2 linked regions of the Danio rerio genome follow. Each later gene encodes a partner of the first gene's protein in a complex. Links are inferred from orthologs where the notes say so. Each region holds a gene or a part of one and is shown on either strand. Other genes may lie near its edges.

The links. Proteins that work in one complex are often made in the same cells at the same time.
Region 2: the proteins of gins4 (region 1) and gins2 are in contact, whole or in part, in a crystal structure (PDB 2E9X), measured with the Homo sapiens proteins. The link is inferred for Danio rerio from reciprocal best matches to the Homo sapiens genes GINS4 and GINS2. Residues at the interface, in NP_115712.1 of Homo sapiens: Pro23, Ala24, Ile27, Glu28, Glu31, Trp34, Met35, Lys38, Phe39, Gln57, Met61, Leu73, Lys74, Ser76, Ile77, His78, Met80, Glu81, Arg84, Ile85, Tyr87, Val88, Ser91, Asp166, Asp168, Ser169, Tyr170, Val171, Phe172, Val184; in NP_057179.1 of Homo sapiens: Met1, Glu5, Phe8, Leu9, Glu11, Lys12, Phe21, Leu23, Asp24, Lys25, Ile26, Tyr27, Leu28, Ile29, Gly30, Trp47, Leu48, Asn51, Leu52, Arg55, Lys57, Phe135, Gln139, Glu140, Ala141, His142, Ala143, Lys144, Leu145, Asp146.

The regions. Positions count from the first base shown.
Region 1 is NC_133183.1:62,247,913-62,255,927, forward strand, and holds the start of gins4 (DNA replication complex GINS protein SLD5), read left to right. Parts: upstream 1-73; 5' UTR 74-229; coding exon 230-307; intron 308-4,314; coding exon 4,315-4,401; intron 4,402-4,518; coding exon 4,519-4,632; intron 4,633-4,833; coding exon 4,834-4,931; intron 4,932-6,322; coding exon 6,323-6,411; intron 6,412-8,015. UniProt on the Homo sapiens protein: Required for correct functioning of the GINS complex, a complex that plays an essential role in the initiation of DNA replication, and progression of DNA replication forks.
Region 2 is NC_133193.1:32,035,787-32,043,801, forward strand, and holds the end of gins2 (DNA replication complex GINS protein PSF2), read right to left. Parts: intron 5,398-8,015; coding exon 5,271-5,397; intron 967-5,270; coding exon 850-966; 3' UTR 608-849; downstream 1-607. UniProt on the Homo sapiens protein: Required for correct functioning of the GINS complex, a complex that plays an essential role in the initiation of DNA replication, and progression of DNA replication forks.

The DNA of each region.
Region 1 (8,015 bases):
GAGGACACGGTGACGTCATCGCCTTGTCACTTTGTTATTTGGCGCGAAATTCTCAATCCGCCGTGTATGAAGATGTAAACAGCTGAAAGTTCGGGGTTAATCTGGTACAATTTGCGCTGAAGTTTAGTTTCAGTGGCCGAGCGGACAGCAGTGAGCCGTGGCCGTGTAGTGCCTAGTCTGAAGTGACTCTTCGGGTTCAGTTCTTGCTGTTTTTTGGTTTGTTTCTCCGATGTCCGACCACAGTGAGCTGAGCGGCGGGGAGGAGGAGCTCATGACCCCGGCAGAGCTCATCAGCAGACTCGAGGAGGTCAGACTATTTCATTGTACAGTGTAATTTTCATATATTTTTGTATTATCTTTATAACGCAAAGTCAAAAACACAAACACCGTTACATGTGCATTCAAATGAGCTCGCTAATCTACCATTAAAGTACGCATTATGTCAAAACTAGCTATATCAATTTTGTTAGCTCGCATTGCTAGTTCTGTGGTGAACAATTCATCTGTGCATGTCATTAAGACAGAAAATTGTTTACATTTGTAATCTAAAGTTAAAATCTGAAAATACACATGCTGTTTGTTTTCAGTTAAACCCCCAGATTACATCAGTCTGAGGTATTGGGCGTGGCTAACATACTTAACCACGCCCCTCCAGCTGTCAGTTTTGACAACAAACAGAAATGGTGGTGAGGAGGAGTCTGTTAGGTTGTAATAACTCTCTTCAAACACCCTCTACCCATCTTTCTGATTGAAATGCCTACTTTAATACATCCAATCAGCCCTTAGTATAAAAAACAAGCCACTCCCACTGTTTTCTCATTTAATATTTTGGAACTGCCTCACAATATGAAAAAATGGTTAATTCAAATCCAAGACTTTTGAGTATGATGAGGTATTTCCAACTGAAACTGAATATTGAGTAGTGGGCGGGGCTTTAGTTTTGAGCATCATAGCCCCTTTCACACAGTGATACCGGTAAATATCCAAAAAAGATTTCCGGAACGACTTTCCTGGTAAATTCAAAAAAGCGCTGTTCACACAGGCGAGGACGTTACGGAATTTTTCCGGAAAAGAGCATTCACACATCCATCGCAAAATGCCGATAAATTCTGACATCATTAACCAGAAATGAGCTCTAAACGGCTGCGCTTGTGTTTGTAAACATTTGACTACATTACAAACTCTTTGGATGGATCAGAATCGAGTACAACTCCAATGAAAACATATAAAGGAAGACTTTCGCATGTCGAGATGTTCATGATATGTGTGTGTGCTGGCGCTATGGGCGCTCACGGGCACACGCAAAGCTTGAAGGTAAACAAACAACGGATTATCATAAACATTTTATCGATAATTATTTACACAGTTGGCATTAAGAAGAAACATAGAAACGTTATCTGACGAACATCTAGCAGCTAAAGGTGTCTGGAAAAATATTCAAAGGCTTTTATTCTCATAAACCGCGCGCACGTGAATGCGTCTGACTGTTCTGATTGGCTAAAGCAGGTATCTCACATCAGCACGTTCTAGACGTGCACGCGCTCTTTCCGGCAATTTTCCTTCTGCATTCACACAGCGCAGCATTCCGGCAAATTGCCGGTAATGTTACAACTTCTCTTTCCGGAAAATAGCCAGAACGAATTTACCGGTATTTTCAAAAAGGGCCTGTTCACACATACAACCTTTCCGGAAAATTGCCGGTAATTTTCCGGAAAGGTCTGTGTGTGTGAAAGGGGCTATTGCCTCGTAATGGTATGATGGGCAAGGTTAAAGTCCGTCAAAATCTACAATGTTTATTTTGCTAGCGCACACTTTTATTCTTTAGTTAATCCACTGAAAAAATAATATTTTTTTGTAATTAACCATTAAAATCTGGCATTTGGTTCAACATTTAGGGTGGAAGCAAATGGCAATTGTGGGCTTTGATTGAAGATATTTTTTAAACAGTGGGTTAACTAAAGAATAAGATTGTACATTTTGATTTCACGTGCACTTTAAGGGTGCTTTTACACCTACACTTTTGTTTGGGAACGTGTCTCGTTTGCCCAGTTAGCGCAGTTCGTTTGGCATATGTGAACAGGGCAATCGCGCTCTGTTCCGCGCCAAAGTAATCGCTCCGAGACCGCTTGAGTGAGGAGGTCTCGGCTCGATTAGAAAGAACCCTGGAGCGGTTTGATTGCAGTGAGAAAGTGATCCGATCCGAGCGCGGTTACATCACAGTGTTTTATGGATATGTAATAGGCTTACGGCTATATGAAGAGAGAATTATGAGCATGGCGGGAAGTTTCGCGAGTCTCCGGATGCCCGCAAACGAGTGATGATCTCCCGGTAATCTCGAGTCTCCCTCCCGGTCCTCAAATAGGCATCGTCACGCACCCTTCTCCCCCCTCCCCACTGCATCTCTCCTCAGACACGTCGCGCGTGCACCCTGTCAATCACCATCAAACCACCACCTCTCCTGACAGCTGAGCGGGACGCTGCAAATTAAACCCTCTGAGATAAACAAATCTCTGTTTCGGAACAACTGAATCGATTCACAGGTGTGAAAGCAGCCTAAAGCTGGAAGTTTCAGTACAATGATGTGTTTCCAACTGAAACTGAATATTGATTAGGGGGGGCGGAGTTTTATTTTTTGCGATGGTAGGGGGCGTGGCTTAGCACATTTTGCCCAAACCAAATTATTATAGTTAACCAAAACAAGTGAAAAGACAAAAACTAAAGGTTAAAATAATTTTCTTTCATTTTCTTGTCAGATTAGTCCCTTTATTAATCCGGGGTCGCCACAACGGAATGAACCGCCAACTTATCCAGCAAGTTTTTACGCAGCGTATGCCCTTCCAGCCGCAACCCATCCCTGGGAAACATCCACACACACATTCACACACACACACTCATACACTACAGACAATTTAGCCTACCCATTCTCCTGCATGTCTTTGGACTGTGGGGGAAACCGGAGCACCCAGAGGAAACCCACACGAACGCAGGGAGAACATGCAAACTCCACACAGAAACGCCAACTGAGCCGAGGCTCGACCCAGCGACCTTCTTGCTGTGAGGCGACAGCACTACCTACTGCGCCACTGCTGTAAACGCAAACCAAAATCGTCCCGGAGTGCAGGGGTCCGTTCTTCTTACCTCGCTTAAATGATCTAAGATGATTTGGCAGATCCTGGATCTTTTAATCTTGATAACTGATCTCTCGCTAATTTGGTTCTTCAAACAAGTTCGCAAATCAGATTAGAATGTCTGGATAAACTGATCTGAGATCGCTGCGTGTGTTGTAAAGGAAAGATCTATCCATCCTCGAAATCATGATCAGCAATGCAACGATTGGCTGACGGCACAGCAGCGTAATGACATCATCTGATTAATATTCAATTATCCATGTGAGCAAAATTACATCAAATTAGCAGTAAACGGCTTGTTAAATATGACACGCAATAACCTTCCACATTTGTTGTGAGCTGCAGGCTTTACACTTCATCATGTATTTCAATGCAAATCAATGTATTTAGTTCTACATTTAGAAAAGATTTTCTTTATTATAGTAGTTGTTTTTTTAATCGGTGTAAAGAATAACTGGTTGTTTACAAAAGCATTTTGATATTGGTAAAGGTGTCTGCAACTTTTGTGAAGCATCAAATCCATGGCATATTAACTATTAAAACATGTTTATGACTGCATAAATGTATTATTGCTTTAAAAAAAGTAACATATTCTGCATTTCTATTATACACAATTTGTACTAAAGCGATCTAAAAAGTTCATATCAATAAGTTTTCTCTTCGCACTACCAGGTGGCAGTCTTTGTACTTTCATTTCGAGGGTGCAGATTGCATAAGTTTTATTAATATGTATAACTTTATTTATTTTATTAATGACTATAACTTTATACATATATATATATATATATATATAGTTAAAAATATGTACCATTTTCCCAAGTGTATATAACTACTACTGTAAGAAAATATCAGAATTCAGAACATACTTTCTGTATTATATTTGCTTGAACTGAGCCGATCTAATCCTGTTTATATGAATTGAACCTGCTCCCGACCAGGTTTGACCTAGCAGAACTGTTGCTATGACAACAACTCTCGGATCAGCTTTGAAGAACGAAACGATCCTGGATCGTGTCAAATCATCAATATCCAAATCCAGCTAACTGAGTAATCCACGTACGAAGAACAGACCCCAGGAGCCTTTGCTCAAAGTACTCGTTAATGCTTAGTTTGAGGCAGTTTTAATGTGAGCATCATCACAGAGTAGATGAACAGTGTCTCCTAATGAGCGTCTCTTGTGTTTCAGGCTTGGCTCAATGAGAAGTTTTCTCCAGAACTGTTGGAGAACAAGTCTGAGCTGGTGGAGTGTGTGATGGAGCAGCTCACACACATGGTATGAGTCTGTCTGCAGTGTTTCTCAGTCTGATTAAACTTTGCGTGACGGATGTTAGCCTGTAGACGAGTCAGATTGACCGTTTCAGTATCGATCATGACTTGTGGTGTGATTTAGGAGGAAAACCTGCAGCGTGTGAGGAAAGGAGACCTGAAGGCCAGTGTTCACCGCATGGAGATCGACCGCATCCGCTTCGTTCTCAGCAGCTTCCTGCGCTCCCGACTCAAGAAGGTAAATCGAGCGTAATTTATTCAGAAAGACTGGCAGTACGCTATAGCGCATGTGTTTGGGACTGTGGGGGAAACACCCGGAGGAAACCCACGCCAACACGGGGAGAGCATGCGAACTCCACACTGAAACGCCAGTCGGGACTCACACCAGATCTGTTCTGTAGGCTGATGTTGTGTCCACGTCTGGTTTTCTCGTCTGCAGATCGAGAAGTTTTTCCCTCATGTTCTGGAGAAGGAGAAGTCCCGTGCTGATGGAGACCCCTCGTTCCTGTCTCCTGAAGAGTTCGCCTTCGCTAAAGAGTGAGTTCAGCGCAATCTGCGACTGTCGCACTGAGGATCTGTTCATGTCTGTCAGAGAGACGCTTCTGGACCGAATGATGAGGGCGATTGAGGACAGAGAGAGAGAGAATTTAAGTGTGTGTGTGTGTGTGTGTGTGTGTGTGTGTGTGTGTGTGTCTGTTTGTTTGTGTGTGTGCACGTCTGTCTATGTATGTGTGTGTCTGCATCTGTTTGTGTCTGTGTTTGTCTTTGCGTGTGTCTGTGTGTGTGTGTGTGTGTGTGTGTGTTTGTCTTTGTGTGTGTGGGTGTTTGTTTGTGTCTGTGTGTGTCTGTTTTTGTGTGTGTGTGTCTGTCTGTGTGTGTGTGTCTTTGTGCATTTTTGTTTGTGTGTGTACATATCTATGTATGTATGTATGTATGTATGTATGTATGTATGTATGTATGTGTGTGTGTGTGTGTGTCGGGTATGTATGTGTGTGTTTGTGTTAGTGTGTGTGTCTGTGTGTGTGTGTCTTTTTGCAATTTTGTGTGTGTGTGTGTGTGTGTACATGTCTATGTATGTATGTATTTGTGTGTGTCGGGTATGTATGTGTGTGTGTTTGTGTTTGTTAGTGTGTGCACGTCTGTCTGTATGTGTGTGTGTGTCTGTGTGTTTTTTGTTTGTGTCTGTGTTTGTGTCTGTTTGTCTGTGTGTCTGTGTGTATGTGTGTCTGGTATGTATGTGTGTGTGTGTCTGTTAGCGTGTATGTGTGTGTGTGTGTGTGTGTGTGTGCACGTCTGTCTATGTATGTGTGTGTCTGTGTGTTTTGTTTGTGTCTATGTGTGTTTGTGTCTGTGTGTTTGTCTGTCTGTGTGTGTGTGTCTGTCTGTTTGTCTGTGTGTGTGTGTGTGTGTCTGGTATGTGTGGGTGTTTGTTAGCGTGTATGTGTGTGTGCACGTCTGTCTATGTATGTGTGTGTCTGTGTGTTTTTTGTTTGTGACTATGTGTGTTTGTCTTTGTGTGTGTGTTTGTGTCTATCTGTGTGTGTGTCTTTGTGTGAGTGTGTGTGTAAATGTCTGTGTGTGTGTATGTGTGTATATGTGTTTGTCTGTCTTTGTGTGTATGTGTGTGTTTGTCTGTCTGTCTCTGTGCGTGTGTGAATGAGTGTGTACCTGATATCCATTACATTATGGGGACAATAAAATACAGCAATTCCAGTACATTTTGACATTGTGGGGACATTATTTTGGTTCCCTTGAGGAAAAGTGGCCCATAAATCAGACAGAATGAAGTATTTTGTAAGATGTAAATTTGCAGATTGTTTCCAGTGAGGGTGGGGTTGGGGAAGAGTAAATACAATAGAAACATCATTACATCTATGGTGAAGTCCCCAATAAACATGAAAACTCAATGTGTGTGTGTGTGTGTTCAGGTATCTGGCGAACACAGAGGTTTACCTGCGAGCCGTGGCTTTGAAACATATGCCACCAAACCTGCAGAGCGTCGACATGATGAAGGCCGGTGAGAAACACTTCTGTATTGAAATAGCCCCTATTATGCATTAAAAGGTCATGTTGTGGATTTGGGGGTCTCCAACAACAGGCTGATCTGCATATAGGGTCAAAAAACACCTTCATTGTCTTATAATATGCGTTTATTTTTACCTGATTACCTAACGACTCCCAGGTGATTCAATCAGTGATTCATTTTTTTTTCCCCCGAACAACGACTGTAAAAAATATGTGAACAAATATGCTCCCATTGAACGCCTTAAATGCATGACGGGCACAAACTGTCGCAAAACACTGCTGAAATTGGAGCATGCGCAATAGAACTGCCTGATGGAGCCAGAGGCGGAGCTGCAGAATCAAGCTTCCAATCAAATGTGTGTACGCCAAATCAACCACGCCCCCCGAACGTCTCACCTGACCGCCCGTTTCTGCACAATAACAAAGGCTCGCTAATTTAAATATAAGCACTTGCATTCAAACACATGTAATTATATACGATTTATTTGAAAACTGTGATGCAAGCTGTTATTAATAATTTAATAAAAATAATATCTGCTGGACTGCAGAAATAAAAGTTAGACTCCGCTATGAGCACACAAAATATTTCTCTTATAACGGGTTGTTGGTATTTGGCATCTTCATAGTGTCACGGTAGAGCGACCAAAACAGGAACAAAAAAAACGGGTGTAGAATCCAAGTGCAGTTTAATTGATGTATAGGGCAGTGAAAGTGACAAAAATACAAAGTAACAAAATAGCAAACTAACAAAACAAGAAACTAAGACAGATTAAACTCGAACTAGACTATAACAAGATACAAGAGCAAGGATCAGGAATAACATTAAAAAACGACAACGACCAACTGACAAACAGAGGATAAATGACTGAATATATAGTCCAGGTAATCAACGGAGAACGGAGACAGCTGTGGTTGTAAATCAGTGTAGATGACAGACCGGGTGTGTGCGCGAAAATATGTATGGAAATGTAGTTCTTTAGCCACTGTAGTTCATTGGGGGTTGCTGGCACCTGGTGGACAAACACAGTCATGACACAAAGGGGTAGAAAACTTGTAAAGTATGAAGAATAACATATCAACGACACATACATTTTTTAGAAAGGCTTTTGTTCTTAATTAGCAATCACCAGGACCCAAAATACACGCACCATGAACAGCTATTTACCATGCGGGAAAATCGTGTGTTTATATTAGAAACAGTGGCGTAGCGCAAAATGCGGAGTCCCCCTGCAGGGATCGCTGACGGGGCCCACTGATGAAGAGGGGGGGGGGGGATACGTCATACGCCAATTTGCATATCACTGACGTCATCACGTTTTACCGTTTCTGTTTGTTTTACACCCTATGGTTAATAAAGGGGTATTTATAATTGCACTACACTTTATATAAGCATGTTTATTAACTAAATGTATTGCTGTTTGAATACAGTATGTCATTATAGATGTGTAGTGAATGTGCAGTAATCTCTCATATGTAATAAACTCAGACAAATTCAGAAACTGTCACTAATATCTGTGATTGTTAAAATAAAGTAGAAGTAGATCGGTTTGACTGTACAAGGGAAATACCTTTACACTGCCTGTGCTAAATCATTTG
Region 2 (8,015 bases), on another chromosome or scaffold:
AGCATTTTAAAAATTCTTCAATTACTTGTTTTATTTTTTTGCTGAATAACTTGTATACCAAATACAATATACTTGTTGTATACCAAAAATGTCTGTAAACAAGTAAATGAAGCTAGCAAATGTATGGATTTAAAATACGCTTTGCTCAGTGCACAACATGAGATGCCTGCTTTTCTGTTCTATAGGTCATGGAAATTTAGCTTTTGGTCAGTTAAAAGTCATGGAACAGTCAGGAAACTTGAAGATTGGTTTTAAATGTGAGCCCTGCTCACTGATAAGTGGGTTTAGTTGTAATATTAGTTTTAGCAATCTCCTTATATGTTTTTTATGCTTGATGCATGCCAATAATTTACAGATGGTTTAAGAAATGAGAAGGTACTCTCTGCATCTGTTAGTGTTCAATAACTTAGTTAAGCTTAGTTGAATCCAGGTGGTGTCTATTTTCCAGGGATAAAAGCCCCAAACCGGTTTATCTTATAATATAAAGCAAAGCAACCAGGTCTTTTGAAAAAGCTTGAACTCTTTTGGTGAATTTGTGTTGGAGGGATGTCTCTGCATTGGGTGTTTCACATATTCATAAAAGAAATCACAACAATACAAGTATAAATTTAGGTTTATACATTTATTTAGTCAAATATAAACATTTTAGTAATAAAACACTACAACACACACAAACAGTAAAGGATTCTAAGGGAACATCAGTCACTATTTACACGCCGAGCGCCAGCAGTGGCCATTATTTGAGAAAAGATTCTGCTCTTAGTAATCTTTCAAATATCATTTGCAGAAGATAAAAGCAAACTTCAGTCTGTTGATAGGAGAGGAATGGCTGAAGTACCTGATCGTGTCTCAGTAGTCTTTACTTCTGCCCGGCTGCAGGTTTGAGCGCAGTTTATACATGTAGTTCAGAGAGTCCAGCAGAAACGAGCGTGTAGTGTTGATCTCCATTAGTGTGAGATTATCCAGCTAAAGACAGAATGAAAGGCCATCAATCGATCACGTTAAACATTTGATTAATACTGGGATTCATTGTGCACTTCTAAAGCGTGCTTTAACTCTAGGTTAAGTAACATTTTACACTTGTAATTAGGAAAGGTGGCTATTAATAGTGGAGCATGAAACTTTTCTAGAGTACAATCAAGACCAAAGTATACTTCAGCTGTTAGACACTGTGACAATTTTCATCACCATAAATCTGATAACAAATGTTTGCCGCTGAATGGTGCAGTTTAATGTTTAATTAAGTTTGTATTTTTGTATAAGTAAAAGTTGGTATTTACAGATATATTCACAGTGCACACACTTATTTTAAATACACATAGAAATGCACCAATATACAGTAGAAGTGAGAATTATTAACCCAAATGATGTTTAACAGAGCAAGGAAATTTTCACGGTATGTCTGATAATATTTTTTCTTCTGGAGAAAGTCTTATTTGTTTTATTTCGGCTAGAATAAAAAGTAGTTTTCATTTTTTTAAAGGTTTAAGTTCATTTTAAGGTGAAAATTATTAGCCCCTTTAAGCTATATTTTTTTCAATAGTCTACAGAACAAACGCAATACTTGCCTAATTACCCTAACCTGCCTATTTAACCTAATTAACCTAGTTAAGCCTTTAAATGTCACTTTAAGCTGTATAGAAGTGTCTTGAAAAATATCTAGTCAAATATTATTTACTGTCATCATGGCAAAGATAAAATAAATCAGTTATTATAAATGAGTTATTAAAACTATTATGCCTCCGGCACCTAGACTGCAGCTCTGCACAAGATGTTTGGCCAGTGGAGAAATGGTCATGCCCAGCTGAGCCTGGTTTCTCTCAAGGTTTTTTCAATTCTTTACTTTCGCCAATTGGTGAAGTTTTTTCCTCGCTGCTGTCGTCACTAGCTTGCATGGTTCGGGATCTTGTAGAGCTGCGCATAGATGGATTTGCTCTTCAGTGTTTGGACTCAGTATTGAATATTAAACCACACTAAACTGAGCTAAACTGAACTGAACTTAACCTCTGAAAACTGGACTGACACGGTTTTCATTTTACTATGATCTTATATGTGAAGCTGCTTTGACACAATCTACATTGTGAAAGTGCTATTCAAATAAAGGTGAATTGAATATAGAAATGTGTTGAAAAAAAATCTGCTCTCCGTTAAACAGAAATTAGGGGAAAAAATAAAAAGGAGGCTAATAATTGAGGGGGGCTAATAATTCTGACTTCAACTGTACATGTGTGTGTGTACACTTTAAAAATATGAACATATTCAGTTGTGCTCATGTTTTCATACCCCTTGAAAAATTTGTTAAATTGTGAATAATTTAAATATATATATATATATATATATATATATATATATATATATATATATATATATATATATATATATATATATATTTATATATATACACACACACACACACACACACACACACACACACAAATATACAAAGGCAAATATATATTTTTTATTTAGCACTGTCCTGAGTAACGTATTGCACATAAAAGATGTTAACATCTAGTTCAAATCTGCAAAATATACTAGAAAACAAAATAATCTGCAGGAGATGAGCTTTTCTGAAGAGCAGTCGTCACTTTTACTGTTTAGAACAACAAGAAACTCATGATCAACTGATGACCAACTCATGATCACAAAGCTGAAAAAGTGGAAATCACAGACAGTATTGAAAAAAAGGTCAGTCAAATTTTGCAGGTGTTTATTTTAATTATTTCAGCTAGTTTTGTCTAGTGACCTAAATGTAAACATTTTTTATATGAATTATCTTAAGGTTGATTTATACTTCTGCGTCAAACGTACCCGTATGCTACGGCGCTGACGCATAGCCCTACGCCGTGGCTGACGTGCACCCCTTTAAAAAAAATGTAACTACACGTCGCAACGACGCGTAGCGCAAGCTCTGTGATTGGTCGGCTTGGTAGTGCTGACGAGTCTGGGCGGGACCGAGAGCCGCGCGAATGGCGCAAGACGGTTGGAGCGATTGATTACAAGTGTGGAGTCCCATGAAGGAGCTCCGAATGGAAAGTTTTGTTTTGTGTTTACCTCATATTTAAAGTTTTTGCACATCCGCCGGTTCCTGCCTCAAAATGTGCGAGTTTGAGCCACTTGTACATTCTGGATGTGTTCAGCGTTTCGGAAGTGTTAATGCAGACCAACAGAGACAGCGCACAGAAGTATAAATGCACAGCTCCGCGCGTTGCATGTGCCGTGAGTTACACCGGTCACTTGACGCAAAAGTATAAACCAGGCTATTCTCTGAACAATACAACAAAAAAGCTACAATATATGTATTATCTTTCTGTTTTTATTAAAACTATTCACATTTTTAAGGGGTATATAAACTTTCTAGCACAACTTCACGTTTATATACAGAACAGACCAAAAGTTTGGACACACTTCCTTATTCAAAGAGTTTTCTTGACTATGAAAATTTTAAATTAACACATGTGGAATTATATACAGTATAAATTGCTAAATATAATTATTTGTCTATCAATACAAAAACACCTTTTCAATATCTATATATTTATACACACATCAGTGTGTATACTAATTAACAGTGTACACAAAATTACTATGTAAACATGCTTTCATTGTGTGCTATTAGTTGTGATTAATCGTAAATCAAAATTTTAGAGGTGTCATTAAAAAAAACAAAAAACCTTAAATCAAGTAAATAATTAACAACCAACAAGTTGCCGGTTCACTCCGCGGTGGCGACACCAGATTAATAAAGGGAATAGGCCGAAAAATAAACGAATGAATGAATAAATATGTGTCATTCATTTATTATTCATTTGTATTACACAAATGCTGCCAACCACTAGTGGGCAGTGTGGATCAGAATGTTATATTATTTGTCGATTCCATCTCTCCAATCATTCTACAGTATTTATTTCACTTGACCAAATAATTAAAACCTTAACATTTTAAATGCATTACATTTTCCCTAATCTTTTCCAAGCATAATCTCTTCAACATCACAGCGTTCACATAACTTATTCCTTCCTGTGTGTGCTGGAACCCATATAAATATGCTTGATTTTTCATTTTGAACTTAAGCGATTAATCAACTTTAAAATGAATGCTGTTGTTTACTGAATGTTGGGAAATATGAAAGTGTTTAGAAAATTAAATGTCAACCCTTGCATTTTTCCCAGGATTATTCTATATTTTATCGAACTAACATCCCGTTTCAATACATCTGCATAACTAAAATTGAAAAAGACTGCAATTAATTTAAACAATTCAGCCTATGATTTGTTTATATAAAAAACACAAACATTCCTATTAAACCTACTAAAGTTGTGTATGTAAGAATGTAAAAATGAAGATGTAGCATTCTGTCTTGAGTAACTTTATGATAGAATGCACAGAAATATGATAACCAGCTTTCATTGCCGTATGAGACATCATTAGCAGTGCATAAAATAAGCAGAACCAATATGGACATCGTAATATAATAACAATAATAATATAATAGCAAACCCAAGTCCCAAAGTGTCTTTTCAAACTTCTCAGATAATGTATAGAATTCCAAATATCCAAAGATTCATAAATCAAGAAGCATCTTTAAAGTAACGGCTATTTGACCCACCTGCCGCTGTACTATTAATTGTAATAACAGGAGGTGAATCAGAGTAAATGTCACAATAAAACAGTGCTGAAGAAAAAGTCAGTGAGTGAAGTTCCTAAATGAAAGCATTTAGTTATATATAATATTATTGGGTTGTGGATATTTTCAAAGTACACTTTTGAAATTGTTTGCATTTAAAGGTTAATTTAAGCTATGTTTTATATATTAAAGCTAACAGCATGCTTAATGCAAAAACTTTTATACAACAGAAAAGCATTGGACAACCTCTGCACAAAATATATGCAATATTTTCCCTCAAAGCTTCAAATGAAACCTAAAGTGACTTCACATTATTGTTTAGGATTTCTAAAAGTTGTTGTACATTCAAATTTCCTCAGCACTCACACACCCACCCACCCACTCACTCACTCACTCAAAGTGAACATCCGTAAATGCTGTGATAACGTCACATTCACCACATGCAACTAACCCAACTTGCAGAGTATGACCAGCCTTAAGCCTTCACCAATCAGGGCTGTCCACGTACAGTAAGTAAAAGCTTGTGAAAAGGAACCAAGCGAAGCTAGAAATCAGTCTTAGTGCAGGTTTACTGTGCACCTGACAGAGTATTGAGTGGTTTTGATCTACTCATCAGTTGGTCATGATAATTGTGGGGTTTTACCTGAGCGTGAGCTTCCTGCTGGCTGATGAAACTGTCAGCTGAAAGCCTCAGCTTAGCCATACGTGTATCCCAGATGTCCTTCACCAGCGTTCGAATCTCATCGGCTTTGGGAATGTTATCTGCAGCACTGAACACAAATATAATATTTCAATATACAATAAACAATATTATTAATTTCAAGTGCAAATATATGGACATGATCAATAAGCATGTGTCAGTGTTTTATAGAATACAGTTAAGACATGCTGATTTTCAATATTACCAAATGTATTTAGATAAAGAACATGCATGGTACGGCCATCACAAGCACTTCAAAAATAAAAGTTAATAATGATTGTTAAAACTTTTACAATGCTTGTAAAGAACATTCAGACTGTTGTATTTGCTATGATCATCACAGCACCAGGCCTTTCATTTTCAAACACTTAGAAAAAAAATTGCAGCTTTGAGTCCTGACACCAGCAGGAATTGTAGACATTTTTAAAGTGTATTTTTTTCTTTTCATTGAATTTTTGTCAAGTGATAAAACCAGAATGTTGTTAAATTAATATAAAATGACAGCTTTAACAACAGAGATGCATCACACCTGTAGTAGCCTAGCTTTGTCAATGGAGAGAAAAATATAGTAGAAAAATATAGCTCTTTGTTCATTTAGAATGGTAAAGTGCTTTGCTTGGGGGAGATTAGGATATATCAAGAGCCGCTTTTCCACTATCGTGCGGAATCGTTCTTTGTGCAGAACCGTTCCATTCCGTGCCAAACCGAGCCAGACAGCACAGATACAAGTGCTGCAACAAAGCTCTTTCAAAACATTACACAAAACGCATCAATAGTTGCCCTGGCAACACAATGTAAACGGCTCCCTTTGTTCAATTAAATTTAAATTAAATTTAAGACGAAACTAGTTTTTTCATGTTCATAAAAACGAAAGCAACCATGTGTCTAAACACTGTTAAGCCCCTCCATTATACAGGGCTGCTAAATATAGGTACATGTCACAGAACCCTTATTTATTAGAGGTATGTTGCGCGGCTCTGGATAAATTTTATTTAGAGAGAAAATGACCAAAATGTAACGTGATGATTGAAAATGAGTGGAGGGGAAATAAATAATATATTTAAAATCTCTGAACATAACAGAAAATTAAACAATGATAAGGCAACAATAATAGTGCATTTGTATTATAGTGGCAGAAGCAGGCACTTTCATAAATAAAAAATATAGCACTTAAATTGTTTCATTTTTGACAATCAATCAAATTACACAGTGGTTTTATATCAAAAGTTGATAATGATTTAACATATACTACATTTTGATGGTAAAATATAACCCTTTAAGTGATGGCTGCTATTTGTTTCAGTATTCAAACGTTAAATAACGAATGCAGCAAGTGAAATAAAAAAATTAATACGAAACAACACAAAGCAGGATATAAAGCATATAAAGGACTATTATATTTAGCAAAATGCTGCTCTTTTATCTTTGTATTTTTATCGTTTTATTTTTGTTATTTTTTTTTTTGTCTTCATAATTAACTAAAAAGCTGTAAGCAAATTCTTGCTTGACGTTTCAGAAAATATTTGCATAGCTACCCAGTATATATTACAGATCACAAAAAACACAGAAACATGTTACATGCCCCCATAAATGTCAAACTTATGTATAACTAAATCATAAAATGGCCTTTAGAAATGATAAAAATTGCTCATTTTATTTTTGTAAAACATTTGTCAAAAAGTACTGTTATTTTTTGAGTAAAAGCAATACCGACAATAAATAATCCATATTTTTTTATTCATTCATTTGACTTGTTTATTGGTGCATATATAGGCTATAATATAAATCATACAACGGTACCTTGGACAGATACAGTGCCACTCCGTAAAGCTTTCAAGCAAAGTCCATAAAAATTAAGAGTTCACTTTCTACCGACCGTAGACTTTTGGACAGCCAACAATTACAGCACGCTGTAGCAATCCTTCAGGTGGTCTCGCCGGTATTAAATTAACAAGCCGCCTGGGCTTTGAATTAAAAAGTACAATTATTTCCTCGTTGTTAAAAAGAGTTGGCAAGTTCATGTTCCATGGATATAGTGGTGTTGTTGTGGACATCGATGATGTTAAGCATGTCTTTCTTTGCTTTATTCGATGCGCAGCAGGAAAAAAAAGTCTTTCAGCAGCGCATGTAGTCATTGGTAAAGTTCTCTCCCGGATCAGAGCAAGTGTTTGTGCTACCAAATACAGCGCTGCGTGCAAACTCACATTCAACCAGGTGAATTAAAGGTCTCATTGCCTAGGATTTCAATCAAATGAATCAAACTCTAGCCATGAATAAAACAATAGGCTATTTTATTATTTTAGATGAGGGGTTAGTAATTATATCATACATGGTTAATTGTATTCATGTCAATGAAATAATAACTTAAAATAGTTATATAATACTTATTAATAGTTATTACAGTAATAGTTAAATAAAATATCTTCGTAAGAATGTGAGGAGTTCTTCACTTCTCTGCCAGAGACTGCTCTATGGTTTTAAAACCCTTTTTAAACTCTACGGTTTAGACCTGGTTTACTTTTTTTCATAATAAATAAAGTGTAGTCCACTTGTGGATGTCTGATGACTAGCGTGCTTACGCGACGTCAACACACAGAATCTGTCGGCACAGTTCAGCACAGTTGTCTAACCGTGCAGAGAATTCCGGGCCGAGAACGGTTTGTAATCGTGTCGCGCTGTTCCAGGCTC